Nothobranchius furzeri: one gene and its partners. The protein of the gene in region 7 interacts with the protein of the main gene of each other region in a pairwise test. Links are inferred from orthologs where the notes say so. Each region holds a gene or a part of one and is shown on either strand. Other genes may lie near its edges. The genes, in order: marchf5l, pstpip1a, rnf26, amfra, rnf111, xiap and ube2wb.

Region 1 (4,232 bases), on a different chromosome or scaffold from region 7:
GATTTTAAAAATCAGCAAGTTTTCCTCTCATGCGTCCTTCACTGGAGCTTTGTCAAACTAAAGTTCCAGCATCAAGTACAACCTGCAATGAAATTTAACCCTGAACCGCCCCGTAGACTGCAACATTCAAACAAGTAAAAGCAAAATTTAAATTAAGAAAGTTAACACATTTAGAATATATAGAGAAAAGATGATGGATGCAGAAGTGTTAATTAAAAGAGACATAACAGAAAGCTAAATAAAACGTTTAGAAAATGAGTAAGTGTGTGTAGAGGGGCATGGGGATCATATAACATGATTATCTGCATGTGAAGTGAAGGGGTGAGAGTCGACAAAGTGACGTGCTGGTATTAACCATAATAAGTGTGATGCAGCATGTGAAGTAACCAGCTCTAGATTTAGTTTTACATAACTGAATGAACCCTCTCCAGTAGTAGCACCCACTTTTGCCAGGAGCTACAGCTGTTAATGTTTTGTGAGCTGAGCAGCTAGCCGGCCAAAACCTCTACCTCTGCTTTAGGTCCGATGAAAAGATCTCCCTCCAGCGCCCCAGCCATCACACGCACATGTTTAGGACGTCCCACACTGAACACAAATATTCAAACAATCAAAAGTTACAACAAAAACAACACAAACCCATATTTTAAATAAATTCTTTTGATGGAGTCACTTAATAAATGCTATATGTTGCAGGTTTCCCAAATAAAAGGTGTTATCTAATATAGCATATGTTCCCATTAAAGATCTGGGAGGAGGAGATGTGCTGGAGGCTGTTTAAGGATGCTTACTAGTTAGGAAAGCAGTATTTTGGGATCTGGTCACCTGCAAAACCAGCCTTGATGACTCCCGAACCCTGCAGAGTAAACAGAAGCGACATTAGAGCACATCTTCATGAACTGAGCATTATGCTTCAGAAAGCCATGAGACTCAGCCTGAAGCTACAGTAGACACACACTCAGCCTGCTGCAACACTGGATTCACAAGCCTCTGATCTTACCATTTACTGTATTTTCTGTTGCTGTTGTTATTGACCAGTCCAGCTTTAACCTCAAGAAGCTAAACCAATCTGAAGTGAAATAAAGCAGATCGGTTTCTCCAACACTAGACTTGACAAGGACTAAAAGTTTGTCCAGCAACGTGGTAACAGTGTGGAAACACTACATACTTCCTGAACCCTGCTACATTAAAAACAAGAGAATTGCACTTAGATATGAAAGCATTAATAAAATGATGTTCAACACGAAGTTAAACTATTGTTCTGCCACCCTAAATGATAACAATGATATAGGTTCTGAATTCTGATCAGCATGGATTACTGAAAACGGTCAGCTGTACAAAACGGAACCAAAGCACAATTCTATATTTGCAGACATCAAGGAACTGCTCGACAGGACATTTAGGGCTTTGTCAACACTGAGAATTTCGAAAGAACCCTCCGAGTTTCAGGTACAAACTAAGAGATGCAACAAAACAAACAAGAGGTGAGTTATTTATTCCCTTCGTGCTGCACGATGAATACTTCTGTATTTTCGTGGAGGTGAACCCCACGAATGATTCTGATGATAGCGACAGACAGCTAACGATTCAACCCATTAGCTTTAGCTCTCGCTCGCTTTGGGTACATTACCGTGCACTACTTGTACTAGTTATATTTCTAGGACAATAATGGAAATTCTTAATGCACATGCTGTAGGGGCAATGCACTTGGCCGAGCACAATGCAGGCTATCACCAGGAACACAATAGCCAAGCTAACGGATAGCAGCTAGCGGCCTCGGTTTGGGTGTGGGTGAATGACATCATCATACTTACATTATCAATCACAACCGGCTGGTTAGCTAAAATGTCATAGGACTCCATTACGAACAGAGTATTTAAAACGTCTTTCTATTGATCTGCAAGCTTCTCCCTCTCCGCTTAGTGTTTTAATCATGTAAAAGATAACGCCCTGTCACCGAGCACTGTGAGGTGTCGACGCCGCCGCGCTGTCTGTGTGCTGCTGGCTCGGCACCGCCCTCTTTCCAAAACAACCACAACAATCATTGCGTCTTACTTGATTGACAAGTACAACGGTCAATGGAATTGAAGATTACTTTTCACTGACGGGTAACGTAACCAATCATAATGTCTGAGTGTGCCACGTGAGAGCTTTGTCAATTGGAACAAATTTAAGGAATCCGTGCTCTGTTTACTGCTAATGTATGTACAGTAAAGACCACAGTTTCACAAAGTTATTCTATAGATAGATAGATAGATAGATAGATAGATAGATAGATAGATAGATAGATAGATAGATAGATAGATAGATAGATAGATAGATAGATAGATAGATAAAGTCAGTGATGTGGAAGTCCATGTCAAGTCTAAGTCCTTAACTTGAATTTTCAAGTCATATTCAAGTCATCTGTCCAACTTCAATTTAATGACAATGAAAATAAATAAATTCCAGAAATAAAGCTTCTTAAAACTTCATTTATTTGATCCAACAAGCAGAACGTGACACTGAAATTGATCGTCGTCGTCGTCGTCTTCCTCTGCTTATCCGGGTCCGGGTCGCGGGGGCAGCATCCCAATTAGGGAGCTCCAGGCCGTCCTCTCCCCGGCCTTGTCCACCAGCTCCTCTGGCAGGACCCCAAGGCGTTCCAGGACCAGATTGGAGATGTAACCTCTCCAACGTGTCCTGGGTCGACCCGGGGGCCTTCTGCCGGCAGGACATGCCCGAAACACCTCCCCGGGGAGGCGTCCAGGAGGCATCCTGACCAGATGCCCAAACCACCTCAACTGGCTCCTTTCGATCCGGAGGAGCAGCGGTTCTACTCCGAGTCCCTCCCGAATGTCCGAGCTCCTCACCCTATCTCTAAGGCTGAGCCCGGCCACTCTACGGAGGAAACTCATTTCAGCCGCTTGTATCCGCGATCTCGTTCTTTCGGTCATTACCCAAAGCTCATGACCATAGGTGAGGATTGGGACGTAGATCGACCGGTAAATCGAGAGCCTGGCTTTCTGGCTCAGCTCCCTCTTCCCCACGACAGATCGGCTCAGCGTCCGCATCACTGCAGACGCCGAACCAATCCGCCTGTCGATCTCCCGATCCCTCCTACCCTCACTCGTGAACAAGACCCCGAGATACTTAAACTCCTCCACTTGAGGTAGGACCTCTCCCCCGACCCGGAGGTGGCAAGCCACCCTTTTCCGGTCGAGAACCATGGTCTCAGATTTGGAGGTGCTGATCCTCATCCCAGCCGCTTCACATTCGGCCGCGAACCTACCCAGCAAGAGCTGAAGGTCAGAGCTGGATGAAGCTAGGAGGACCACATCATCCGCAAAAAGCAGAGACGAGATTCTCCTGCCACCAAACTCGACACACTCTACACCACGGCTGCGTCTAGAAATTCTGTCCATAAAAGTGATGAACAGAACCGGTGACAAAGGGCAGCCCTGGCGGAGTCCAACCCTCACTGGGAACAGGTCCGACTTACTACCGGCTATGCGGACCAAACTCACGCTCCTCTGGTAAAGGGACTGAATGGCCCTTAACAGAAAGCCACCCACCCCATACTCCTGGAGCGTCCCCCACAGGGTGCCCCTGGGGACACGGTCATAAGCCTTCTCCAAATCCACAAAGCACATGTGGATTGGTTGGGCAAACTCCCATGCCCCCTCCATCACCCTTGCAAGGGTATAGAGCTGGTCCACAGTTCCACGGCCAGGACGAAAACCACATTGCTCCTCCTCTATCTGAGATTCAACTATCGATCTGACCCTCCTCTCCAGTACCTTGGCGTAGACCTTTCCAGGGAGGCTGAGGAGTGTGATCCCCCTATAGTTGGAACACACCCTCAGGTCACCCTTCTTAAAGATGGGGACCACCACCCCGGTCTGCCACTCCCTAGGAACTGCCCCCGATGACCACGCAATGTTGTAGAGACGTGTCAACCATGACAGCCCTACAACATCCATAGCCTTGAGATACCCAGGACGAACCTCATCCGCCCCCGGGGCTCCGCCGCTGTGTAGTTGTTTGACTACCTCAGCAACTTCTGCCCCCAAGATCGGACAGTCCATCCCCAGGCCTCCCAGCTCTGGTTCCTCCTCGGAATGCGCATTGGTGGGATTGAGGAGCTCCTCAAAGTATTCCTTCCACCGTCCGACTATAGCCTCAGTTGACGTCAGCAGCTCCCCATCCCCACTGTAAACAGTGTGAGCGAGTTGCTGCCTTCCTCTCCTGAGGCG
Region 2 (4,126 bases), on a different chromosome or scaffold from region 7:
ATTGACGCATTCTAGAAGCGACACGCAGCAAAAATAGAACCCGAGCCCGTCTTTAGTGAAGCGGCGTGCCACTTCTGGGACATGCCTGGAAATTGCCGCGTCGCTGCTGGTTTGAAACATTCCTATAATGGATTCAATTTGAAGCAGTGACGTTCCGCTGCCGTTCCGCCCTGCTGATGCTTTCAGTGTGAAACCGGGATGAGGAGACATTTCAGCAGTTAGATTAAGATGATATAAAGTTTCACTTTTTTTAACCTAACGGACACTAGAGGGTGCTAAAAGCAAGCCAAAACGGCATACTACTCCTTTAAGGGCCACATTTGAGTAATTCAGAGAAATTTCCTGAATGAGGCCTTTAAAGGGCTGCGTCTATACTCTTAGAATCTGGGGTTACAATGTGTAACCATGTTATTTGTTGTTTGGTTTCTTTAAGTGTGTATGTATTTCTGCCCATTTTATTTCTTATTGTCATGATGTAGGAAGGTGAGGATCCAAATCCAGATGAATACGCTTCTGAGAGGCCACCAAGACAGCAGAAACTCTTTTATTTCAGAGTCAGGTCAGGAGTAATAGGGAAACAGGGAAGCACAAGATCAAATGATGGGGCAGGGGAGCAGATTCTGACACATCATACATAATTTGGCAAATCATTAACTGCTGCAAAGTTTGATGAATCAAACTGACTGGCTTTTTAGTTAATTTGACCCAAATTATTAACTATTTTATGTGCTAGAAAAAATGCTCAATTGATGCTAAAAATAAAGCAGCTAAAAAGTTTGAACGCTAGAGACATAATCCCCTTCATCTTGTAAAAGAAAATAAAGCAGCTTGTTTACCTTCTCGATCTGTTTGGGAGTCGCTGTGGGAGCGCTGCCCAGCCGTTCAGCCGTTTGCTCTGCCTCATCCGCCTCCTTGCAGCGTTGCTCATAAGATTTTTTTGACTGTTGATGCAGGAAACAGAGACCCAATGAAACTCTGACGCAAGAATCTATGTTCATTAGTAGTTCACTCTGAACCCTCAACAGGAAGCAGAGGTATTTAGTCAAAAAAGAAGACATGGTGCATGTTGCAAAAAAATATCACACACCTCCTTCCTCTCAACATAAACTGAAGTTTTTAAAAAGTAAAAAAAAAATGAGTCTATTTAATGTTCTTGTATGTGTAAGGTGTAAAAATCACAGGATCTGATTCTTAGATGTAGGATAGAACACCAATCACTAAGAGACCCTACCTCAATAGTTTTCTTGTAGAGAGAAACCTTCATCTTTTGAGCCTTCTCCATGCTGATTTCAAACTGGGTGACAAGACTTTTATGTTAGAAAGAAGAAATTCTTTACTTTGCGTTTCCTTGTTCTTTTACCCACAACAAAAATGGGAGGAGGGGGGAGTCGACACCTTTTTTCTCTGTTCTTTCTGTCTCTCTCTGAATTCCTCCATTCTCTTCACCTCGTCCTTTAGGAGACCAGAAAGCTGGATGTGCAAGTTCCCTACATTTTCCATTTCTGCAAAGAAAACAAAACATTATATATTAAAAAAAATTAAATACAAAAGCAGAACAGAACAGAGAAACAAGTCATGCTGGGTAATGTGGTATGATTACGTGTTTTCATGTCATCAAATGAAGTCCTCAAAGTGCTGCAGAAAGGAAGAAGAAAATAACTGCACACTCTACTTGATGCATAAACACATAACATAACATCAGACCATAAATTATGAGCATTTGGGCACGAATGAACCCTTTGGCACGCACCAAATCTCAACCAGACCACCAGCTTTTCGGGCGATTGAAACCAGTTCTTTTCCATATTTCTCCTCTGCTGAAGCTCTATGAAAACATCAACAAACACACACTTTTTAAATATTAGTTTCTAAATACAGACACAACTAACTCAACTTACCTCATTTTCAACAACTCCTCCGTGTCTTTACACGTCCGCCGACCATCATTGAGTCTCTGAATAATGGCCTCGTAACCATCACAGCTGATAAAGTCTTTTCCCTGCAGAAAAAGTGAGGTATATCTTTTTCTTTGCAGTTTAAAACACACAGTTAATGAATAATTTTAATAATAAACTCTGAAGGCGGTGATTATCAATCATTAGCTGGTGAGCATTATTCTTCTTTCCTCATGTAGGGAGCATGCCATATTTAGTAAAACAGAAACTGTTGCATTGTTGGAAAAAGCAGTGGCAGAGGTGTTAAAACTCCTCACATCTGTAAAACCGATGACTGTCTGAGAATCAAGAGCACAAAAATCTCAAAGAGTTGCCAGATTAACAGGAAATTATCTAAAAAAAGGACTTTATGTGAATATACACTCAAGGGTAGGATCGCAGCATGCTACACTATAAAAAAAGCTTTGTTACTTTTACCCATCTTTCTTCTAAAAATCAGACACGATCAAGTGATTAAGAACAGTAACAGTACAGATTAATGACTTTTCATGCAATAAAAGCTAACAGAAATCTCCAGAGGACGTCTAAAACATAAAGCCAGACTCAAAATGACTTGTGATCCAAAATGCTCATACAACAAAACAAAAAAGCATCAATAAATTTGACATCTAAGTGATGAGGTTCACAGTTCAGAAGAGATCATTGTTCCTTTTAGAACATAAAATATAATCTAAAAATGAATCAGCAAATTTCAGCCAACTCACCCAAAACGAGTCTTTAAATTGTAAAGCCATCTTGGTAGTGTTTGGTAACGTTTCCAGTTAGCGAGTCACGCTGTTGTGCCACTTGGCGGTCTGCTTCGATGCAACTGCAGCACATCAGGACACACTCAGGAAACAAACCCTCATGCAGCAACTCTCACTCGCAGTGTCATTTCATTTAAATCAGGAAGAGGTGACACAATCGAGCTCACAACAGCAACGACACTAACTCCGGCACCGAAATAGAATTAAAACTAACTTCACTTCATTTTTTAAAAACTGTTCAAGTAAACCCCAGTAAGGTGTGTTTTGATCAATTGTTTATTTGATAAATCATTAAAAGTTGTTAATGAGTTCCTCCTTATTTTACAAAGAGGATGATACAAAAACAGGGATTTCCGATCAAATGTGTCAATTCAACTGGAAAGAACAGCAGTTTGTACATTTTGTGTTGGTTGATTTGGAGGTGACTCATTTTAAAGCACTTTTGTTTGTAACATCACATTATTACATTATTAGGACACGTCATTTTTGTCACTTGTTACATAAAACATCTGCTGTAATATAAGTTTATGTTTCCACAGTTGCACAAAATACATAATCAGTCAAAAAAACTAAAATTTTGATTTAGTTAAAAACAGTGTTTCTATAAAAGATGAAAAACAAGGTTATAGTTCATCATGTGACACATGCAGCTGTCTGCCATAGTCCGTCACTTCACTGTTCATGAACATCTCTTGGTTTTTTAAAACTTCTGCCAGTGAAATCCGTTCGTCCCCATCAAGGTCCATTTCCTTTATGAGGTGAAGAGCCTGTTAATGACGAGTAAAGAAAACAGAAAAATTATTATATGGCAACTGATGCCTCCAAACAATAACTTGTAGTGGACAGCAGAGGGTTAGACAGAAATGTTACAAAAAGAATGCACCGTATAGACAGCCTAACTTTAGATGCATCATTTCTTCTTCCAGCTCTCCCACAGTTTAATTTACTGAAGTACAATAAAGACAGAATGTACTTTTGGTTGCTGTTTTTATGAGATAATGTGTAAGAACCTGTTTGGGCCAACATGTGTCACTTTGTTATTGTAGCAGATGTGTATAAAAGTAAAAAAAATGTTCCTTAATTCAGAAGATCAAACCGTTTTAGATCTAAATTATAGTTGTTAAGTCTGCTCTTAAAGCATCTGAGGCCTTTAGTACGCTGGAGCCACCATCAGTGATATGAAGAGACTGCAGCAGGTTGTACGCTCTGCTGAGAAGGTCATTGGCTGTAAACCCCTCTTCATACATGACCTGTACACCTCTAGGATATTGAGGCGAGCAGGTCGGATATCAGCTGACCCGTCTCACCCTGGACAGTCTTTTTGACTTGCTCCCATCTGACAGGAGGCTCCGAACCATTCGGACCAGAACCTCTCTCCACAAAAACAGTTTCATCCCCTCTGCGATCGGACTCGTAGAACTGCCC
Region 3 (4,265 bases), on a different chromosome or scaffold from region 7:
ACGATCCTCTATCACGCTCCTACCACACAGAGTCACGGTGTCAGTTAACCATGCTAATTCAACCCCTCCACAGAACACACATCACCTTCCCTGTGGCTTACATAACACTCACACAACACAACTACCCCTGACTGCATCCCGGAGATCGGGGCGGGGCTAAATGTGGGCGGGGTCAAACGTTTAGAGGTGGGCGGAGACCGTGTACTGACACGCGATCGTTCATGTCGGTTCATTTCCTTTAATGTTTTCTGTCTTTTATTTGCGCCTGATGTGTTTCGCTGCTGTGGAGCGGGGCGCATCAACACCTCCTCCGACACACAGATCACTGATGCGCCCGGCAAGCAGGGAGCGCTCCGCTGTTTTCGCGGTCGGTAGATCTGCCTCCTGAGCACGGCCACAGTAACAATCAGGTGTCGCCACCTCAAAAACTAATTTAACACGCGATCGTTCATGTCAGTTCATTTCCTTTAATGCTTTCTGTCTTTTATTTGCGCCTGATGTGTTTCGCTGCTGTGGAGCGGGGCGCTGCGCGCATCACCTTGTCCTCCGATGCACTGATCACTTATACGGCCGCCAAACAGCGAGCGCTCCGCTGTTTTTGCGGTCGGTAGATCTTTTAGAACTGCAGTTCAAAGGTAACTCATGAGGTGAATATATATGAACCCAGGTAGCAGTTTCTCTTTAGGATTGAGAGGAGATGCAGGAAGATAATAAACAGACAGGACAGAAAAATAGTCAAATAAAAACAAGTTAGTTTTTGTACCTGCTGTTGCAACATACAGACACCATTGAAGGTAATCAGAAGTGAGGAACAGAAAATGAAATAATTATTTTAATGTTTAGAGCAGCAGGAACTCCGAGAGGCTGCAGGCGCATCAGTGAGTTTGCGGCTGCTGCGCAAGGGGAGGGGGGAGAGGACTGAAGCAGAAACTACCGTTGTTAAAAGAAATGTGTTTAACTTTGAAAATGTGGGTGCACTTTTAATTGTCAAAAACTCCAGCGAACCATTAGTTCATTTTGCTCAAATAGAAATAGAGGCCTGCCTCTAATACTGGCCCTCCTTCCAATAAAGGCCTGGAGCTTGATGAGCTTGAGTCAAATAAAGGCCCGGGCCTGTATTAGAGGATTTACGGTAATTTAACTAGTTTAGTTCTAGCTATTTGCACTGGAGGGCGACTATTCTCCCTTCTCGCTCACACAAGGTCAATATAAAATTGAACTTGTAGCTAGGAGAGTGTGTACAGTAGCATCACACAAACTGGAGCTATATTGAATAACTTTTTTCAGTTGATGCATTAGAGACATAAAAGATGATAGTTGGTGCTGAGATGACAGACATCACTGGAGCAGATGGACCTTCAACAGCAGTCCCAGAAAAGCAACATCCATGTATTTTGATTAGATTCGTTCCCATTATCCCATAATCTCTTTATATGGCATTCATTTGATTAGTTTAAAATCTAAAATTTCAATCCCCATGTGTTATTGTGGTATACAACCAACGTTTTAATCTGTTGATACATCTTTTTAAAAACATATTTTCATGCAGAAAATCACAGAAATTTCAAAACTGAAAAGTGATCATATTTGGCCGCCCTGTTCTAATAAAAAAAAACAGAATAAACAACATGATCTAGTTAAATAAACATCTTCCTCCTCTTCATTATAATCACTGATGGCGAGATTTGTCCTCCGTTTTTGTTAGAAATGTTAGAAAACAGTTAAATATATTCAGTGTTATAATTGCCGTTATTGTTAATATTGTTACCATCCTTACAAAGATTATGTTCAGGGCATATGATCAAATATGGCCCCTCTGATTTGCATGCTAGCACAACTAGTCGGAGGAGGCCTTGAGGTGGTGATGATGTGGCGGTGAACTTTGCCTGCAGTCATTACTAGGCCAGACCCTGCAGCTTTAACTGGTTTTGAGTTTGATGACACATTAGCAAGTTTTTTTAAAGTTCAAGTAAATCCATGAAACCTGTGTATGCATTTTTTATATTGTGTGTAATGGTTTAGTATGTGTTGTAAATAAATACATAATCACACTTATTTTTTTCAATTTTTACATTCATGTTTTGAGCGGTTTTGGATTATTTTGAAAAGTCATCGGAAGGAAGTAACGAGATATCCGCTCACTGACGTGACCAAAACAAATATGGCGTCTTCAGCGAAGATAGTAAACATTGTTATTTTACCCCTTTTTCATTTTTTTCTTAATTCCATCCGTCGATTTTGCTAACTGTGTGTTTTAAGACTGACAATATTTATCTAACCAGGTGTTTCTGGCTTTTATTAGCAAAGAGCGAAAACGAAACACGGAAAACTAACGGAAGTGTCTGCTCTCGTTCGAAACAAAACATCCGCTTCACTTTGAAACGCATGTGTTCCGACGAAACACTGAACAAACATGAACATGTAGTGTATTTCGTGAAACGAATGATGTTTTCCAGCTGCTGCTGAACTTACGTTCTGCTTAAGATGTAACGTATGAGGATATCAGGCGGAAAATCAACAATGAACTTGTGTACAACCTGGGAGGAGCATCGAGAGATAAACAGCTGAAGCTAAAGGACCATGGGTTTGGTGAACTTTGTGGTAACCTCTGTGGGGAAATGCCTGGATGCTCTGTGTTTACTGTTGGACCTGAACTTTCTCCTCGTCCACACCGTGGTGCAGACCCTCCTGGCGGTTGTGGCTTTAATTACCAACCTGCCCACCCTCCTCCTCCACTCCGTGCTGCAGGTGGGGAACTTCATCCTACTGTCCATTGTTCACATAGCAGAGGCCGCATCAAACCTGGCCCACAGCACAGTCACCCTGCTGGGAAGCCTGGTGCTGGCCCTGGAAGGGCTGCTGGAGAGCCTGAAGATGGTGGGTTATCTGTCCATGCACGTGCTGCTACGAGGAAAGGAGCACCTGTATCGGGGTTTGCTGTCAGTGCTGGAGGGCTGTAGCATCGCTGTCAGCCTGGTGGTCTATTTTACCAACACTGTGGTGAACTTTGCACTCATTGCCATGCAGAACTTTTACCTGTCAGTGGTGGGCGTGTGGCAGACGGTGTCCAGCCCGCTGCAAAAGGTTCTGGAAATGACCCTGACCACCCTCACCTTCTTGTACAGCTGCCTGGCTGGTACATCAGCTTTCCTGTGGTCTCCCTGCAAGCTGGTTTTGGATTTTCTGTTTTCCCTTTTGCATATGTTCATCTGCATCTTCATACTGAACATCTATGGCCTCCTGCTCACTATCACCATCGCCCTGATGACCACCGCCTACCTAAACCCAAGACTGACCCATCAGGCAGTTGTGCGCATTGCGGATTACCTGAACTCTTTTGCTTTTCTGCGCAGACTGTATCTAACTCACAGACGGCTCGCTTTAGCCCTGCAGAGAACCTCACATTATCTACGCTACAACATCCGACACCTGCAGATGATGCTCCACCATTTCTTTCTATTGGAGAGAAGATTTTGGCAGCGGCTGTCTCAAAACCGAAGCCGACTGGGTCTGGTTCTGTGGACACAACTCCGCAGGGACAACGGAGACAGAGCAGGAGGTGATGGAGACCCTGGAGAAGAGAGGCGGGGTCCACCAGATGGGAGAGCGGGAGACAGAGCTTATCCAGAGCTGCAGGATTCAATTCTTCCATCATCAAGCTCAGACGAGCCACTTAAGGAGTCTTCAGGCAGCGACAGTAAAAGCTTGCCAGCTGAAAACCTGCTCACTCTACTGAAGGAGCACGAGGAGAGGAAGAAGTGCGTGATCTGTCAGGACTGCACTAAGACGGTGGTGCTGCTGCCCTGCAGACACCTCTGCTTGTGCAGAGACTGTACAAACATCCTCCTCAGGCAGCCGATCTACCAACAGAACTGTCCTCTCTGTCGTCACATGATCCTCGACACTATGGACGTTTATCTGTGAGGGACCAAAATAAACTGATCCATTCATCTGAAGACAACAAGAGCTCCACAACCTTTTTATTATTATTATTTTATTTTATTTTTTTGCCTTCTGGTCAATCTCATGTCAAGCCACTCTGTTGTTTTACGTTTCAGGGATGCTCAGAAGTTTTTATAAATTTTTTTCAAATCTATAGGTTTCTGAATACAGACAAAACTCAAAAAATGTTTTGTTTAACCTTTAGAATCTTTTGACATAAAAAACACACCAAATTTCTTTTATAAAAAATTATTTTGAATGGTCCAAGCTTTTGAGAGCTGCAGATGATAATTAAAGAACAAAAAATACAGTTTCCCTCAAAA
Region 4 (4,184 bases), on a different chromosome or scaffold from region 7:
CCCATCAAGACTCACTCTCATTTCATCAGTCCATAAAACTTAGAACAATCAGTCTGGAGATATTTCTTGGCCCAGTCTTGACGTTTCAGCTTGTGTGTCTTGTTCAGTGGTGGTCGTCTTTCAGCCTTTCTTACCTTGGCCATGTCTCTGAGTTTCGCACACCTTGTGCTTTTGGGCACTCCAGTGATGTTGCAGCTCTGAAATATGGCCAAACTGGTGGCAAGTGTCATCTTGGCAGCTGCACGCTTGACTTTTCTCAGTTCACGGGCAGTTATTTTGCGCCTTGGTTTGTCCACACGCTTCTTGCGACCCTGTTGACTATTTAGAATGAAACGCTTGATTGTTCGATGATCACGCTTCAGAAGCATTGCAATTTTAAGACTGCTGCATCCCTCTGCAAGATATCTCACCATTTTTTACTTTTCTGAGCCTGCCAAGTCCTTCTTTTGACCCATTTTGCCAAAGGAAAGGAAGTAGCCTAATAATTACGCACACCTGATATAGGGTGTTGATATCATTAGACCACACCCCTTCTCATTACAGAGATGCACATCACCTAATATGCTAAATTGGTATTAGGCTTTCGGGCCTATACAGCTTGGAGTAAGACAACATGCATGAAGAGGATGATGTGGACAAAATACTCATTTGCCTAATAATTCAGCACTCCCTGTAAATTCGCGTCTGTGCTGCTATAATGTCATGAACTAGAACCTCTGAGGAATATTTCCACCTTGATGAACCTATGGCAAGAAGAATAAAGGCCCTTCGAAGGCAAAATAGAGACCAACCTGGTACAAGCAAGGCGCTTCTATAAAATGGGCAGTGGGTTTGTATTAGTTCAAGTCAGTTGTTTTTAATCACCTCCATGATACAGTTTCAGCATAGACAGAAGTGAAATATATTTCTCCACATATCATTTTGCTTGAATTAAAAATTAAAATAGCAATGAAATTAATAAAAATTCAATAACAGCAAGCATGGATTAGCCTAGAAGTCTAGACAGAGTGTAGCCGAAGCAAAACGATGTTGCACTGCATCTCTGCATATATATTCACATAAATAGGGCTTGCCAGGAAACTTTTTTGATTTTGCAGAAATGCAGAGTCTCAACATTAGTTTTTTCCTTTTAAACCAGCTGACATAAAAAAAAACTTAATGCAAAATAAATGATTAACCATAAACTGTCTTAAACACTAAGTGAAGATTCCGTACCTATTTCAATTTTCCTCGAGAAAAAAACCACAGCAGTTAAAACATTACGATATGTTGCAAATTGTAGCGGTGAATGAATGAATGAATGAATGAATGAATGACGGAGCTGGTAAGGTCGGGTTATTTTCCATTACTGTGACTTTAAATTTGTCCCGATGACGTCATATCTCGGCTAGTTGCCTGCTAACTGTCGGTGAGATAAACAACAACAATGTTGACGACTGCTGTGTTTTTCGTGTAGAACCCGTAAAGTCCAGCCCAGCTCAGAGCACACCACCCTGGATCTCGTGTTTACCTTTGTGGCTATCTGTAAGTGGCAACCCAACACAGGCCTATTAGGAGTTTATCAACAACGCGTAAGTACGTAGCTAACGTCAGCTAGCTTGAAAGCTAGCATTAGGCAACACTAGGGAAATAACTTAACACTTTTGGGCGTGAAATACTATTGTTTATTTTTTATTCTCCTTTGATACTGTTTGCAATTTCAGCCACCCAGTTATACATTTTATTACATTATTTTTAATTAAGCTGCGGTTTTACTTCACTAGCAATGGGATTGTCGATCCTCATCTGGAGGTTAGCCTAGCCATTTTCTCATTTTAGCCTTTCTTTTAGTTTTAAAAAGGTAAAGATAGTATAACACCCTCGAAATGGCCGCTTGTTGCATGTGTTTATCCCTAATTAAGTAACTGCGATCGCCAGCACAAGGGTGATTATATAGTGCTCACACCTTGCTCATTAAAGTTTGGCTAACCTTTGCTAACTCCCTCCCAGGCAGGTGGTGGAGTGACATAGTTTTTACAAGTCAGGAAGTGGACCGCAAGCACTGCAATGCCTCTGCTGTTTATGGAGAGGTTTCCATGGCCCAGCTTGCAGACCTACACAGCCCTGAGTGTGGCTTTGCTGGCTGGAAGCATCTTCAGTGCCTACACTACTGTCACTGACCCGGGCTTTGGGGCCTTGGAGACCGAGGATACACCAGCTCCATCCGAATTTAACCTTGAACATCATCTAAGTAGTGCAGTTAGCAACACAGACTTGGCAAGAACTGTCCTGTGGTATCTTGTTACTGACAGTCTCTTTGTATGGGTGAGCATCCTTCCCATTACGAGTTTTCACAGGTGATATAATATTCCTCATGCAATAAACTAATAATCATGCCACTCTCCACATTCTTGCAGGTCTTGGTCAACACATTCTGCTGTTCTTTAATGTTAATTGCTAAAATGATCCAGTATGTGGTGTTTGGGCCACTCAGAGTCATTGAAAAGCAGGTGAATCTGTTTGTTTTGCTCAAATATCTGGAATAAATATATTTTCTAAAATGTACAACTTACTTAGTGCTTATTGTCAGAAAAAAGCATCTTATTTTGCTTTTTATTTTTCTCCCAGCATCTCAAGGATAAATTCTGGAATTTCATCTTTTACAAGTTCATTTTCATATTTGGAGTATTGAACGTGCAAACTGTGGAGGAGGTGGTCATGTGGTGCTTGTGGTTCTCTGCCCTCGTTTTTCTACATCTCATGGTACAGCTCTGCAAAGATCGTTTTGAATATGTAAGTATGTTTTATCACACCATCTCTTTTCACTGCATCCACCTCCCCATACATGTTTCAGGGTCATCAAGGGCTGAATTATACAGGTTTGCAAGTTATTAGCTCCAATTGAGAATTAAGTAAAACTGGTTAATTTGAGAATACCAACATTTTGGTTGCATGGGACTGCATTGTTTTTGTATGTTTCAGTGGTTTTCAATCATTTACACACCACCACATGCAGCTTGTTATCACTTTAAATGTATAGAAAATTAAAAATCAAAAATCTAAATGTGTTTTTAAATATTTTCTAGCAGAAGGAGTTCAGTCTATTCAATAAAATACCTAAATACCGCAATTTAAAACCTTCTCCTTTGTTTTGCACACAGGATATGTCTTGTTTCATTAAGATTTAAATTGTAAAAAAGTAAAAATACATGATTTTTGAGTAAATCCAACTAACAAACCTCTTTGCACCCTGAAAGTCCTTCAGAAGTCTGAGTGCAGATGTACTTATTCCAGCTCCAGCTCTATAAATAGCTCCATATTCTGACATGTTTGCCTGCTGGTAGAGTTTCAGTTGCTACATTAACACTCTCCTGTCTCACAAGATGAGAAAAACAAAATATCAAATTGAATTACCATCATGCAAGCTGTGACATTTAAGAAAAACTCCTAAACATAATGTAGCTATAATGTAACAGTGACTAGTTATTTTTTTCTACCTGTTTTGTGTAAATATTTTATATTACACACACTTTCTCTTCATATAAAACAATGAGATGGTCTTTGTCTTTATAAACTCAAGCACGTCGGTTATGTTCAACCCAGCTGTTTTCCTGTTTCCATCCGTCTGCAGGTTTGTGCCTTTGGGGGTATATGGCACATTCAGCAGCTCTAGATAAAAGATTTGGCGTGTGTTTTGGGTAATTTGGTGAGATTGTGTGGTACATATGACACCCATGTCATGTCTTGTAGCTCAGCTGTTGTAATTATCATAAGTAGTTCCTAAATAATTTATTTTGTGGGCTGTACATGATATTAGGGGAAACCTTTGAAGGATTATTATTATATTTGAGTTTTTGGATCGTATGCATGTCGTACAACTTGCTTTTCTTACTTTTAGCAACTGAACCACCTTTAGTTTTCTCCTGTTTTTAATAGGACAGTTAACTGCTTTGAACCTAGAGTTGAAAGTTGTCCCCAACTCTGTGGAAAAAAACATTGTTTTTTCTTGTACAGTTGAACACCAGAGGTGTTCAGAAGGGTGTGCAGACTTTCCCCCACATGTGCTGTTTACACACATATGTCACAGTGGGAGGTTTTCTGCTGGAGGGATGCGTTTACAGCATGAAGCACGAAGGAGGAGGTGCAGCAAAGTGTCATTTGTCAGGAGTGCAAAGGACATTGGTGTATGTCACCCTGGAATGTTT
Region 5 (2,876 bases), on a different chromosome or scaffold from region 7:
TTTTTTGTAAGTATAAGACCAATAAATAAGCTACTTTATCATAACACGTCACAGAAAAGTGTTATTTAGACTTTTGAATATATATTTGAAGGTGTGGTCCACTGAAAAAAAACATTATTTAATAATTATTTCTGATTATAATCAGTGTCTCTGAGTTTTTCATGCTAGCTGACCATGAAAATAGTCTCCTACACCAATGTCCCGTATCAGCTTCTGATATGAAAATAGATGGTGAAACTCTGGGATTTGAAAATCCTGACAGATATGTCAAACTGTCACTTAACATTCATGGACTCACCCATCTTGACTCAAGACGGGGAATGCTGTTGTTGGTTTAGCGTCCATGAAACAGCAGAGAACATCTCAGCTAGTAGAAGCTAGCCATTAGCATTAGCAACTCAACCACACGGCAGAACTCCACCAGGCTTGTGTTGTTTGTGGAGATAAAACATCGGCGTTGCAGAGCAAAATAGTCAGTGGTAGAGCCATGTTTCTGTTAGCCAATCAGAGGTGAGATGTCCAAATATCAGCAAATAAGACTCCAGATCCTGTCGTGTTAAGCTCTCCTCTTATGTGGCATTCGTCTAGTTGCTGCAACAAGCGCATCTGAGACCCCCCCCCCCCCCCCAATATCCAGGCATAGATTCCCACTATAGATCACTGCAAATGTATTGATTTGAAAGGTGTCCCACACCTTTAATGTGATATTTTCTACATTTACAATGTTTTGGTGCTAAAAGTACAAACTCACCTTACTAGAGGCAAAAGCATACAAATGATTATTAGTTATGCATAACTTGCAGCAATTGTTGGCCTGTGATAATTCTAGTATAACTGATTGACGTTATTAAATTAATAGCTCCCCTTGAGTTGGTAAAAGTCTGCAGGTGTAGAGTAACAGTGTGCACGTTTTTGTGTGTGGTTTCCATCAGGACCTGCTGCATTTAGAAGAAAGACTGGGGACTGTGAACCGAGGAGCCTCTCAGGGAACCATAGAGAGGTGCACCTACCCACACAAGTACAAAAAGGTAAGCACTGATCAGCGTCTGCACGTCTAGATTGTTGAACATGTTGGATGTAGTTGTGCATGTCTGTTGCAGCTTATTCTGGGACAGAGCGCTCACTGGTCTTTTGTGCTCCTTTAGAACATCTAATGTTAGAGAAATCCTTTAGTGTTTTTTTTTTTACCAGAGGCTGCAGCTGTGTAGAAAATTGTTGGGGGAGGGGGTTTCCTTCGAGGTTTTCAAATGTATCTAAGCAATCAATCTAACACCCTGCCACCCAATACAGAAGGTGTTGGAGAGAGACATTGACCAACAGTTAACCCCTGAAGCTTGGGCTCCTATTGGGAAAAATATGCACGCAACCCCAGAATCGGTGAGAAAAAAACCCAAACAAATCAATTTGGACACATGTCTCTGCTCATGTACGTTAGATGTTAGTGTTATTTCTGGGGGCTGGGAAATTCGGCTTGTGTGTATGACTTAAATGACTTTGATTTGTTTAGATGACAAAAGCAAGTTTATATTTTTTTATTTTTATGATTTTTATTTCACGACAAAACGACCATTCTCTCTGTTCCCAAATTTTAAGTTTGTTTTGTTGAAGTGTTTGTTGTAAACATAGTTACTTCTTTTGGGGATAATGTGATTTATTTTTAAATCTGTCATACTTTTAATTCTAATTGTTTACCTGAGTAGCTGACATGAATTGATGAGATTACTGACCGTCTGGAACGGCTCTGCTGAAGCTGCTCTGTTGATCAGCGCCGCACATCACAAGTCGTGTTTTTAAATGTTTCTCCAAAACAGAGGAAGCTGCACGGGAAGCAGGACGAAGACGAGGGGGCGGATGAAGACACGGAAGAAAAATGCACCATCTGTCTGTCGATACTGGAGGAGGGGGAGGACGTCAGGTAAATGCCTCCCCTCCCGGGCGTTCGCCCTGATCCTGGCTCACAGGCTTTAGCGTGTTAAATGATGCTCTAAAGGGGGCGTGTCTCTGAGCCTCCGAGCACAAGTGGGATGGCAGATGCAGCCGTTCCACTTTGCTAACATCTTATGGGAATTTTTATCTTTTTTCTTATGAAAAGGATAATAAATAAACCCGAAGGAGTTCTCGTAATCAGCAGAAAATCCCAGAGTGGCTCAAAATTACCTTCCTCATGGAGCTGGCACTCACTCAGGTTTATGAAAACAAATTCTGCCCCCTGTTGGCTCAAAGGGTCACCTTGCAAGTGTAAAAGCTGTTTTATGTTCATGCTTTAATAGAAGTGATACTTTATCTGTAATATAAATGACCATTTAGGCAGTTTTTGTTCAAAACAAACTTAAGAATTTATTTTTTGGTAACAAAGATCCAAAGATGATTTATAGGAAGGAAACAAAAGGGGATGTAGTGAAAAGATGTTATTTAAATTAGTAATGCATCAATATTAATATCACTGTTATGTCTGATAACTGATGTTTGCCGATACCGATATACTGACAATAATGCTTCTAAAATCAGCAGATTTTGTATAGAAATAAAATCATTAAAGCTGAATTTACATTATTATGTACTCACCTTACACACATTTATGCTTCTTAGATGATTACAGTCACTGTCACATGACTGAACAAATACACACCACCCCCTCACCCTCTGAAACATACAAACAAATGGAGACAAGATGGAAAAATATTGGTTAATATCAGCCCGGTTTTATTTATCGGACCGATACAGATCTGTTAAAAAATACCTAACATCGGCCGATACCGATATTGATGCCGATATAGTGTGCATCCCTAATTTAAATATTCCTAAAAGGCACTTTCTAAAGAGGGAGTTGTGGAAATTGTGATAAAAACCCACAAGCAGTCGTGAAAAAAAGTATA
Region 6 (4,159 bases), on a different chromosome or scaffold from region 7:
GTTAAGCACACATGGTTTAAGTTTCAGCACCACCAATGTTAACATTATCTATGTTTTAAGAACCTCTTTAAAACCACTAACAAGCATAAACAATAAGGAAAATAATCTTCTAAACAATCCTATTATATTATTATATTATTATAATCCAATTTAGAACTCAAATGAAAAAGGCATAAGTGCAGAACTTGAGTAACCCTTTCCAATCAAGCATGATTTATTGTCTTTGGGCTAGTTTTTGAGCAACAGGCGTTCTGAATTTAAGCATTAGATGTTGGCATGCCTGACAATGAAAAATGTTCTTTCCACACAACTCTGACCTGTAAGGTCCAAACCTAAAGACAAAACATGCCATTTTCACACAGATTACCCCTTTTCAAAGCAGCCGTATGCAAACCAACTCTAAAATCAGCTGGTTCACACCTGTCGGAAAAAGTGGACTGATCATACCTAACATCATAATAATGATGATTCAACAAAAACCTGACTGGAGTGGGTTTTAGAATACCAAGTGATCGTTTATGAAGTTATTGTTATACCACAGGTAGTTTCTGAGTAAAGTTACAGCTAAGCTAAACTTGATGAGGCACATTCAAACTATGCTGTTTATGTTTTCTTAGAAAATATGTATCTGTGAAGATGATCATAACATAACAGAGATAGAAAATGTATCTTCTCCATTCTAAATTATAAGAATACCTGTGAACCCCCACCCCCTAAAAAAATCCCTAACGATTTACTGGAAATGCATGGGGCAGACCAATGCTCGTGTTTTATTTGACTACTACGGCAACTTTTAGTTTGAATCAAAAAGTTGACATGCATAATCACCAATATGGAAAATTATCTCAGGTTGATATATGACTGTTAAAGAGTATAGTTATTTTATGTATCCCATTAGCTTTCACTGGCATTTATTTCTGTTGGTGACAGATGCAGGTTGTATTATCAGTCCCTACCCTGTGCCTTGAGTTTCTCTGCTCCAACACCAGGTCCATCGGTTGAATCACCTCTTCAGCAGCTCTGTAACCTTTCAATTACTTGCTGATACAATCAGGTGAGAGAGCAGATAAACCTCAGATAAACATGGAGGCCCTCAAAACAAGAGATGACCGCCACTGTCCTAACAATCCTGATTAAAAATGGTCACTAATATTGTAGGTATAAGATTATGACCTTCAGACATTGTTTGAGGTGCATGATGGGATTACATTAAAATTTTAAATGAACGCTTTTTGCTGGTTACTGACCATATTTAGGCAACCCTAAAGTATGTTGGCAGTTGATAGTAGACGGCATGTTTCTGTGAAACACCCACGTGGGCGTACTTTGATCATGTGACTGAAGAGGCGGGGCCAAATGTTCTAGGTTCCCAGATTCCTCCCTTTGCTTTCGCTTCCTCATAGTTTTTATAAAACAAACTGAGCTCTTTAATCATCCTATTCTGCTCCAGGTCAAGTTCACACTAAAGACAGACTAAAGTTACAAGCTGAAGACCGGAACCAAAAGGGGCGCGTGAAGGTAAATACCGTAGTTTTCCGGCTACGGTCGATTTAGGCAACTGCGCAAATTAGCAAACAAGCTAACGAAGCTAGCTAACTGACACTTTAGCAAACTGTCAAAACCCAAAGTCACTATCTCGACATTACGCACCTACATCAAAGCAGCTGATGTGTTTATTTTTAGAATGCAGGCTTATTGAAATGCGTGTCCTTGAATAATATAGGCTAGTTTTTAGCTTTTGGTAACTCGAGCATCCACGTTTAAGCAAGGGTCACCAGCATAGAGAGCTACTTCATGTGTACTGAGCCACATTAAGGGCTACCAGGATTCTACAGTTCTGACATTTGAACTGGAATAGATCAGAGTTAAACCAAACTTCATTTATAATAAATATATTTTATTTATTTGGAAGGATTTGTAGTTTTAAAATCAATATTGATGCATTTGTAATTAAAAAAGAAGGCTGCAGATTTGTATTTCGTTTTAGATATTTGCCATTTAAAGAAGTGGCTTTATATTATGCCAGGAGGCACCATGGTGCAGTATCGTAAATTGTGCATGTTTGTCATACGGTTAAACACACATTAAGTTGTGACACACTCGTGATCATGGTGACTACTTTTTTTTTTTATAAAGATTGCCAACAACAGTGCAAAGATCAAAAGCTGATCCTCATCAATAAAGCATCTCAGATAAAATCATACTAGATGTTACAGTTTTAGGACTAAGCCTCCACCATGTAGTGGGCTTTCTGAGTATTTGGGTTGTGAGAACACATTTTCCATGTGCCAGTGTAGAGGTGGCAAAACTATTCCCCCCATCCTGCTTTCTTAGCTGGCGTGCTTTGATCTTGGGTCATTAGCCCGTGTACAGCATGTACTGTGACTCCTTATTACAGCAAATACTTTATCAGTGTTTGTCACTGTTGTGTATAATCTATTTAGGAATGCTGCTTTAGTGTAGATTGTATCAGGTTACGCCCTTTGCACCGCCTTTCCTGTTCCCATGCCTCACACAGAGTATCCAGCACCAGCATGTGATTATAGCCTGGCTGCCTCTCCCAAAGGCTTAGCCTGGATGCTCAAACCAGCTCCCTGTTGTTTTAATTCAAGTACATTTAGGACTTTTGACTAACCTTCAAATCTGCTTGTCTTTCTCCTCAGACTTCATACATTCAGTAGCTGTATCTATCCAGGAAGGTCCTAGTTCAATTATGTGTGATAATGAAGAAAATGAGCATCTGGAATCAGATGGTGCTATGGATTTTTCATTGCTCAACAATCGCCTGAACTCCTTCCGCCGCTCCATCCTGGCTGAGCAAGTTCCAGCTGAACGACTGGCACGAGCAGGCTTCTACTTCACCGGCAACGCAGACCGCGTCCGCTGTTTCAGCTGCAAGAAGACTGTGGAGAACTGGACCAGCGATGACACGCCTGTGGAGCGGCACAAGGAGGTAGATCATGGATTCAAAGTGTTGAACGATTGTGACTTTTTGTTCTGCTTTAGAGGTTTAAATAATGATCTCTCTTCCTGGTACAGGTTTCTCCAACGTGCTTGTTTCTCAAATGCTGCCACCGAACCAGTTTCAACCCGAGCTTTCATAACCCGCTCACTAATGGCTACAACGAGGCTGCAGAACACATGGAGTATCGTTTGTTAACTGGAGCCGTGACTGACGACACCATGTACCCTAAAGCCCCTCAGATGGCGTCTGAGGAAGCCCGCCTTCAGACCTTTTCCTCGTGGCCCGTTGATTCTCTTATGAGACCCAGAGACCTGGCACAAGCTGGTTTCTTTTATTTGATGAATGCTGACCGAGTGCGGTGTTTCTGTTGTGGTGGCGAGCTGAGTGACTGGGAACCAGAAGACAATGCTTGGAGTGAACATTCCAAACATTATCCAAACTGCTTCTTCATACTTGGGCATGATGTGGGGAATGTGCCGCTTCAGGAGAGCAGTTCTCAGGTCTCCATGGAGAGTTTTGAGGGGAGACTTGGCAGCTTTGCTGGTCTCCAGCTCCCTGTTGACCACAAGAGTCTCGCCACGGCGGGCTTCTACAGCTTAGGTACAGCGCCATCGTCATCTGTGGACAAAACTCATACAAAAATGAGTCACTGTTATATCGTTGTTCTGATTTTGTTTTGACACATCTGATTTGTGCTTACAGGAATGGGAGATAGGGTGATGTGTTTCAGTTGTGGTGGGAGTTTGAAAGGTTGGCAGCCTGGGGAAGACCCCTGGGAACAACACGCCAAATACTACCCAGGGTTAGAGGAAACATCTGTCTTTTCTTGGCAATAAAAATTCATTATGGAGACATTTTTATTTATGCTGCTGTAACTTTCTTCCCCATTAGATGCAGCTTCTTGTTGGCAGAAAAAGGAGTAGAATTTGTCAACAGCATCCAACTAAATGGACCCAAACAAAGTAGAGCTGTAAGCAATCTCCTTCTTTTTTTCTTGCTATTGTGATTATATGACAAACCATAGCTTGTAACTTTACCTGTCAATCTGATTCCCAAGTCCCTTTATTTATAAAAAATAAACAATGAAAAGGTTTGAATCAGCTGGAATTGTGTTTTAAATCATTTTACTTGTATTTGGTGTGTTTTAGTGAACTTTATGGAACATAAGGAACCAAATGTACTTCTCTTTAGGTC
Region 7 (3,500 bases):
GATTAAAGTCCCATAGTTGTCACTAGGGCTGCACAATATATCGTAAATATATTGTTATCGCGATATCAGCTTGCACAATATGCATATCACAAAGAACAGATAAATATCGCAATGAATGATCAGCTCAAATGTTTGCTACACATAATGCATTCTGTCAATCAAATGGAAGCCTGATGTTTTTTTTAACAAATCAAATAGAGCTCTTCACCCATTTGGCCAAAAGGGTGGGTTCTCATAGATTAGATGCCCGCCCCTGAGGCGGACAGTACTTAATTTTGATGGTTAGCAAACACATGAGTTAGCTTTGTTCTGCTCTTTTTGCTGATTCTGCTTTTCCTGGGATCCACTGATTACCTTTTCTTGTTCATTATCTTTTTCCCTTTCCTCACATCTTTTGCTTTTCTCGTTTTTTTTTTTCTTCTTTGTTTTTGATTATTTTTGTTCATGAGATAAGTTTTTATTTATTGCAAGTAATATTGTTATCGCAATTTAATCATTGTTATCGAATATAGCCGGTTTTCCTAATATCGTGCAGCCCTAGTTGTCACACACACTTGTGTGGGGAGGCGCGGTGTGCTGCAGACACGGCTGCGCTCGGGAACTATTTCGTAGTTTAACCCCCCAATCCAACCCTTTAAAGCTGTGTCAAGCATTGGGTCCCATTTTTAAAGGCCAAGTAAAAATGCCTTTGTTACCAAGACGAGACCAAGCACATATAATATTAATATCAGATAAGGAGAAACAGCCAGCTGCTACCACTTCAACTTAAGGACAAACTACCAGAGTCCCAAAAAGAAAAAACACCATTTGAAGTCACAGACACCAAAGATGTTTAGGCATAGAAAAATGTGATTGTTGATTTGTGCTCTCCCATTTACTCTGGCAATGCGCATTCCCGTATTGGGGGGCGTGGCCTAGCCGACGGAGGTATGAGAGTCTTTTGACTGTGTTTATATGGAATGGCCAACTTGCTGTGCTGATTTGGTAAAGCAGCTTCAATACCAATGGTTCAGAAAATATGATTACCACCCCTGTAACGTTTATATTCGACAGTAAACATTTGGGTAACCTGTGTTCTTTATTGGGGCACCGGGGGAATGTTTTAGTCATCATTGTCCTTTTTTGTTTTTAGGTGGATTGTAGATATGGAGGGAGCGCCCGGTACACTCTATGAAGGAGAGAAATTTCAGCTGCTATTCAAATTTAGTAGTCGATATCCTTTTGATTCACCTCAGGTAAGAGCAAAGGGTGTGTGTGTGTGTGTGTGTGTGTGTGTGTGTGTGTGTGTGTGTGTGTGTGTGTGTGTGTGTGTGTGTGTGTGTGTGTGTGTTCGCATATTTAAATGGGTCCTACAATTCAACAACCACTTTTACCTTGTTGTTGAATAGAGGCAACTTGAGATGTCTATGTAGCGTACCAAAAAGTCTGCAACTTGTAAATTAGTAAAGTTGTAATGGTCACGGAGAAACGGTTCATCCTGACAAAAACTGGTTTAACGCGTCATAAGCATAGACGCACCTCCCTACATTAGCATGCTCCAACCCACTTCAACATCCGCAATGAATAAACTTTGATCTCAGTAATGCTAACTGCAGAAAAATGCTAGCCCGAGCTACTGCTAATGTTCTTATAAACAAAGGGAAAACACATGTAACGTTCCAGGATGTACAGGGTATATCCAAACTTATAATGAATGCCAGATAGATCTGTAGCTTTCTATTGAATAATATGGATATTGTACACTGCTGTACAGAGATTCTAGCTTGAGCAGTGTCATTGAGCCATTAAACCAGCCAATCAGCATGCAGCTCATTTAATATTCATTATCAGAGCTCCTAGGGCATTGTGGACCCCAACAAAGTGTCATGTGCTTTATATGGCGCTTGCACACTAGCGTCGTAACGGTCGGGGTTTGGTCGGGCAGGATGGCGTGAGTTTGGGCTGGTATGGTCGGTGTAGTGTTTACATATTAATCCGAGGAACTTCTCAAGATGCGGAAATCCCCAAGCCTGTGGGGGGCGCTTAATACGCGCGGGAAAGTCCGTTCCATAAGGTACCAAAAGGCGGACATGAGCTGTGTTGCTTTTGGAGACTCTGAACCACATTATTTTATTAATTTACTCTGTGTCCCCTCATAATCTTGTGCCGCCCACCCCCTGATTTCTCCCCTGAGCAGCTGTCTGCTTGCGAGGGGCAAGAGCTCCGATGCGGAGAATGGGAGCATGCATGCACACACACACACTCAAACAAAGCTATTCTTTTCTCCCGCTCCCACACTTAATAGCAGCTCCGGATCGGCAGCTCCGTGCAACAGACAGAAGTTAACTCAACAGCATCCAGCATGAAAATGAACCGCACATGCAGGAACCCCCGGCTGGCTGATTCTTCTCGCAGATCGGAGGCGGTAGGCGTAATTTCAGCCGGCCAGTCAGTCCGTAGTGTCGCCTCGGTCCCAGTCTGACCGCTGGGGAGAAGGTCTGGGAAAAAGTCGCCTCGGCACTGAAAACGCTAATCGGACCGGTGTGTGAAACCAAATTCCGGTGCCGTTCGGTACCTTATGGGCCCGTACCTACGCTAATGTGTAAGCGCCAATAGAGGCTCAAAGAAAAGCTGTTGTAGATCCACGTTTGTGGATCTTTATCCATACCATACCATACCAAGTTTATTTATAAAGCACATTTAAAAACAGCATGACAGCTGACCAAAGTGCTGTACAGTAGTAGTAAAAGGAAAACCCCAAGATAAAAACAAGATAAATATCATAAAAGAGATAAAAGGGATAACCTAAAAATGTAAAAGAAACATACTAGAGTAAAAACAAAGTCACAATAAAAACAATGCTAAAAGGTTAGCACATTTCAACAGGGAAGATTCTATAACAATAAAAGCTTGGTCATTGATCAAAAGCTAAATAGTAGAAGTAGTCCTTCAGTACAGACTTGAATCAACCCAGTTCTGGGGCCTGTCGAACACTAAGGGTGAGAGCATTCCAAAGTTTAGGAGCAGCGAACACAAAGGCCCGCTCCCCACGAGATTTATACTTCATTTTTGGGATGTACAAAAGTAAATGATCTGCTGATCTCAGGGTTCTGGGTGGAACATGAGGCATGAGCAGTTCTGACAGATGAGCAGAGGCTTGACCATTCAGGATGTTGTAAACTAAGGTTAAGACCTTAAACTGGATACGATATTTAACCGGCAGCTAGTGCAAGCGTGCAAGGACAGGTGAAATGTGACAGCGTCAAGAGGTGTTTGTCAGGAATCTAGCCGCTGCATTCTGCACTCTCTGAAGCCTTATCCAGCCTAGTTGAAAGGGTCACTCATTTCTTACACTGTCTTAGCTTCAGTTTTCTTTTATGATGTTTTGACAGTAATGTTTGAATTCAGCATCACTAGATGATCCGATATTGGCACCTATCTGTTAAGAGTTCTGCAGCGGGGGCACTAAAGCCCAGAGGACCACTTTTCTAAACTTAAGTGGAAAAACTTTTGTGTCTACC

What was found.
Region 1: the proteins of ube2wb (region 7) and marchf5l interact in binary tests that used the Homo sapiens proteins (3 or more experiments, as listed by UniProt). The link is inferred for Nothobranchius furzeri from reciprocal best matches to the Homo sapiens genes UBE2W and MARCHF5.
Region 2: the proteins of ube2wb (region 7) and pstpip1a interact in binary tests that used the Homo sapiens proteins (3 or more experiments, as listed by UniProt). The two-hybrid records come from large-scale screens. The link is inferred for Nothobranchius furzeri from reciprocal best matches to the Homo sapiens genes UBE2W and PSTPIP1.
Region 3: the proteins of ube2wb (region 7) and rnf26 interact in a two-hybrid assay, tested with the Homo sapiens proteins (2 studies listed by BioGRID and IntAct). The link is inferred for Nothobranchius furzeri from reciprocal best matches to the Homo sapiens genes UBE2W and RNF26.
Region 4: the proteins of ube2wb (region 7) and amfra interact in a two-hybrid assay, tested with the Homo sapiens proteins (2 studies listed by BioGRID and IntAct). The link is inferred for Nothobranchius furzeri from reciprocal best matches to the Homo sapiens genes UBE2W and AMFR.
Region 5: the proteins of ube2wb (region 7) and rnf111 interact in a two-hybrid assay, tested with the Homo sapiens proteins (2 studies listed by BioGRID and IntAct). The link is inferred for Nothobranchius furzeri from reciprocal best matches to the Homo sapiens genes UBE2W and RNF111.
Region 6: the proteins of ube2wb (region 7) and xiap interact in a two-hybrid assay, tested with the Homo sapiens proteins (2 studies listed by BioGRID and IntAct). The link is inferred for Nothobranchius furzeri from reciprocal best matches to the Homo sapiens genes UBE2W and XIAP.

The regions. Positions count from the first base shown.
Region 1 is NC_091746.1:37,374,301-37,378,532, forward strand, and holds the start of marchf5l (E3 ubiquitin-protein ligase MARCHF5), read left to right. Parts: upstream 1-1,432; 5' UTR 1,433-1,481; intron 1,482-1,811; coding exon of another isoform or gene 1,812-1,859; exon of another isoform or gene 1,860-1,995; intron 1,996-4,232. Other genes in the region: actr1b (actin related protein 1B), read right to left, coding at 510-585, 789-853, 1,812-1,859. UniProt on the Homo sapiens protein: Mitochondrial E3 ubiquitin-protein ligase that plays a crucial role in the control of mitochondrial morphology by acting as a positive regulator of mitochondrial fission and as an important regulator of immune response.
Region 2 is NC_091744.1:68,453,528-68,457,653, reverse strand, and holds the start of pstpip1a (proline-serine-threonine phosphatase-interacting protein 1a), read right to left. Parts: upstream 2,801-4,126; 5' UTR 2,690-2,800; coding exon 2,660-2,689; intron 2,000-2,659; coding exon 1,899-1,999; intron 1,826-1,898; coding exon 1,751-1,825; intron 1,636-1,750; coding exon 1,601-1,635; intron 1,503-1,600; coding exon 1,396-1,502; intron 1,295-1,395; coding exon 1,232-1,294; intron 942-1,231; coding exon 837-941; intron 1-836. Other genes in the region: rcn2 (reticulocalbin-2), read right to left, coding at 3,325-3,468. UniProt on the Homo sapiens protein: Involved in regulation of the actin cytoskeleton. May regulate WAS actin-bundling activity. Bridges the interaction between ABL1 and PTPN18 leading to ABL1 dephosphorylation.
Region 3 is NC_091753.1:38,315,197-38,319,461, reverse strand, and holds the start of rnf26 (E3 ubiquitin-protein ligase RNF26), read left to right. Parts: upstream 1-1,465; 5' UTR 1,466-2,580; coding exon 2,581-3,924; 3' UTR 3,925-4,265. UniProt on the Homo sapiens protein: E3 ubiquitin-protein ligase that plays a key role in endosome organization by retaining vesicles in the perinuclear cloud.
Region 4 is NC_091749.1:54,393,156-54,397,339, forward strand, and holds the start of amfra (E3 ubiquitin-protein ligase AMFR), read left to right. Parts: upstream 1-1,384; 5' UTR 1,385-1,524; intron 1,525-1,989; 5' UTR 1,990-2,046; coding exon 2,047-2,304; intron 2,305-2,396; coding exon 2,397-2,489; intron 2,490-2,607; coding exon 2,608-2,772; intron 2,773-4,184. UniProt on the Homo sapiens protein: E3 ubiquitin-protein ligase that mediates the polyubiquitination of lysine and cysteine residues on target proteins, such as CD3D, CYP3A4, CFTR, INSIG1, SOAT2/ACAT2 and APOB for proteasomal degradation.
Region 5 is NC_091749.1:59,508,301-59,511,176, reverse strand, and holds part of rnf111 (E3 ubiquitin-protein ligase Arkadia), read left to right. Parts: intron 1-932; coding exon 933-1,028; intron 1,029-1,290; coding exon 1,291-1,377; intron 1,378-1,811; coding exon 1,812-1,915; intron 1,916-2,876. UniProt on the Homo sapiens protein: E3 ubiquitin-protein ligase. Required for mesoderm patterning during embryonic development. Acts as an enhancer of the transcriptional responses of the SMAD2/SMAD3 effectors, which are activated downstream of BMP.
Region 6 is NC_091741.1:25,549,248-25,553,406, forward strand, and holds the start of xiap (E3 ubiquitin-protein ligase XIAP), read left to right. Parts: upstream 1-1,359; 5' UTR 1,360-1,518; intron 1,519-2,663; 5' UTR 2,664-2,713; coding exon 2,714-2,953; intron 2,954-3,039; coding exon 3,040-3,565; intron 3,566-3,667; coding exon 3,668-3,767; intron 3,768-3,856; coding exon 3,857-3,935; intron 3,936-4,159.
Region 7 is NC_091747.1:53,051,291-53,054,790, reverse strand, and holds part of ube2wb (probable ubiquitin-conjugating enzyme E2 W-B), read left to right. Parts: intron 1-1,132; coding exon 1,133-1,235; intron 1,236-3,500. UniProt on the Homo sapiens protein: Accepts ubiquitin from the E1 complex and catalyzes its covalent attachment to other proteins.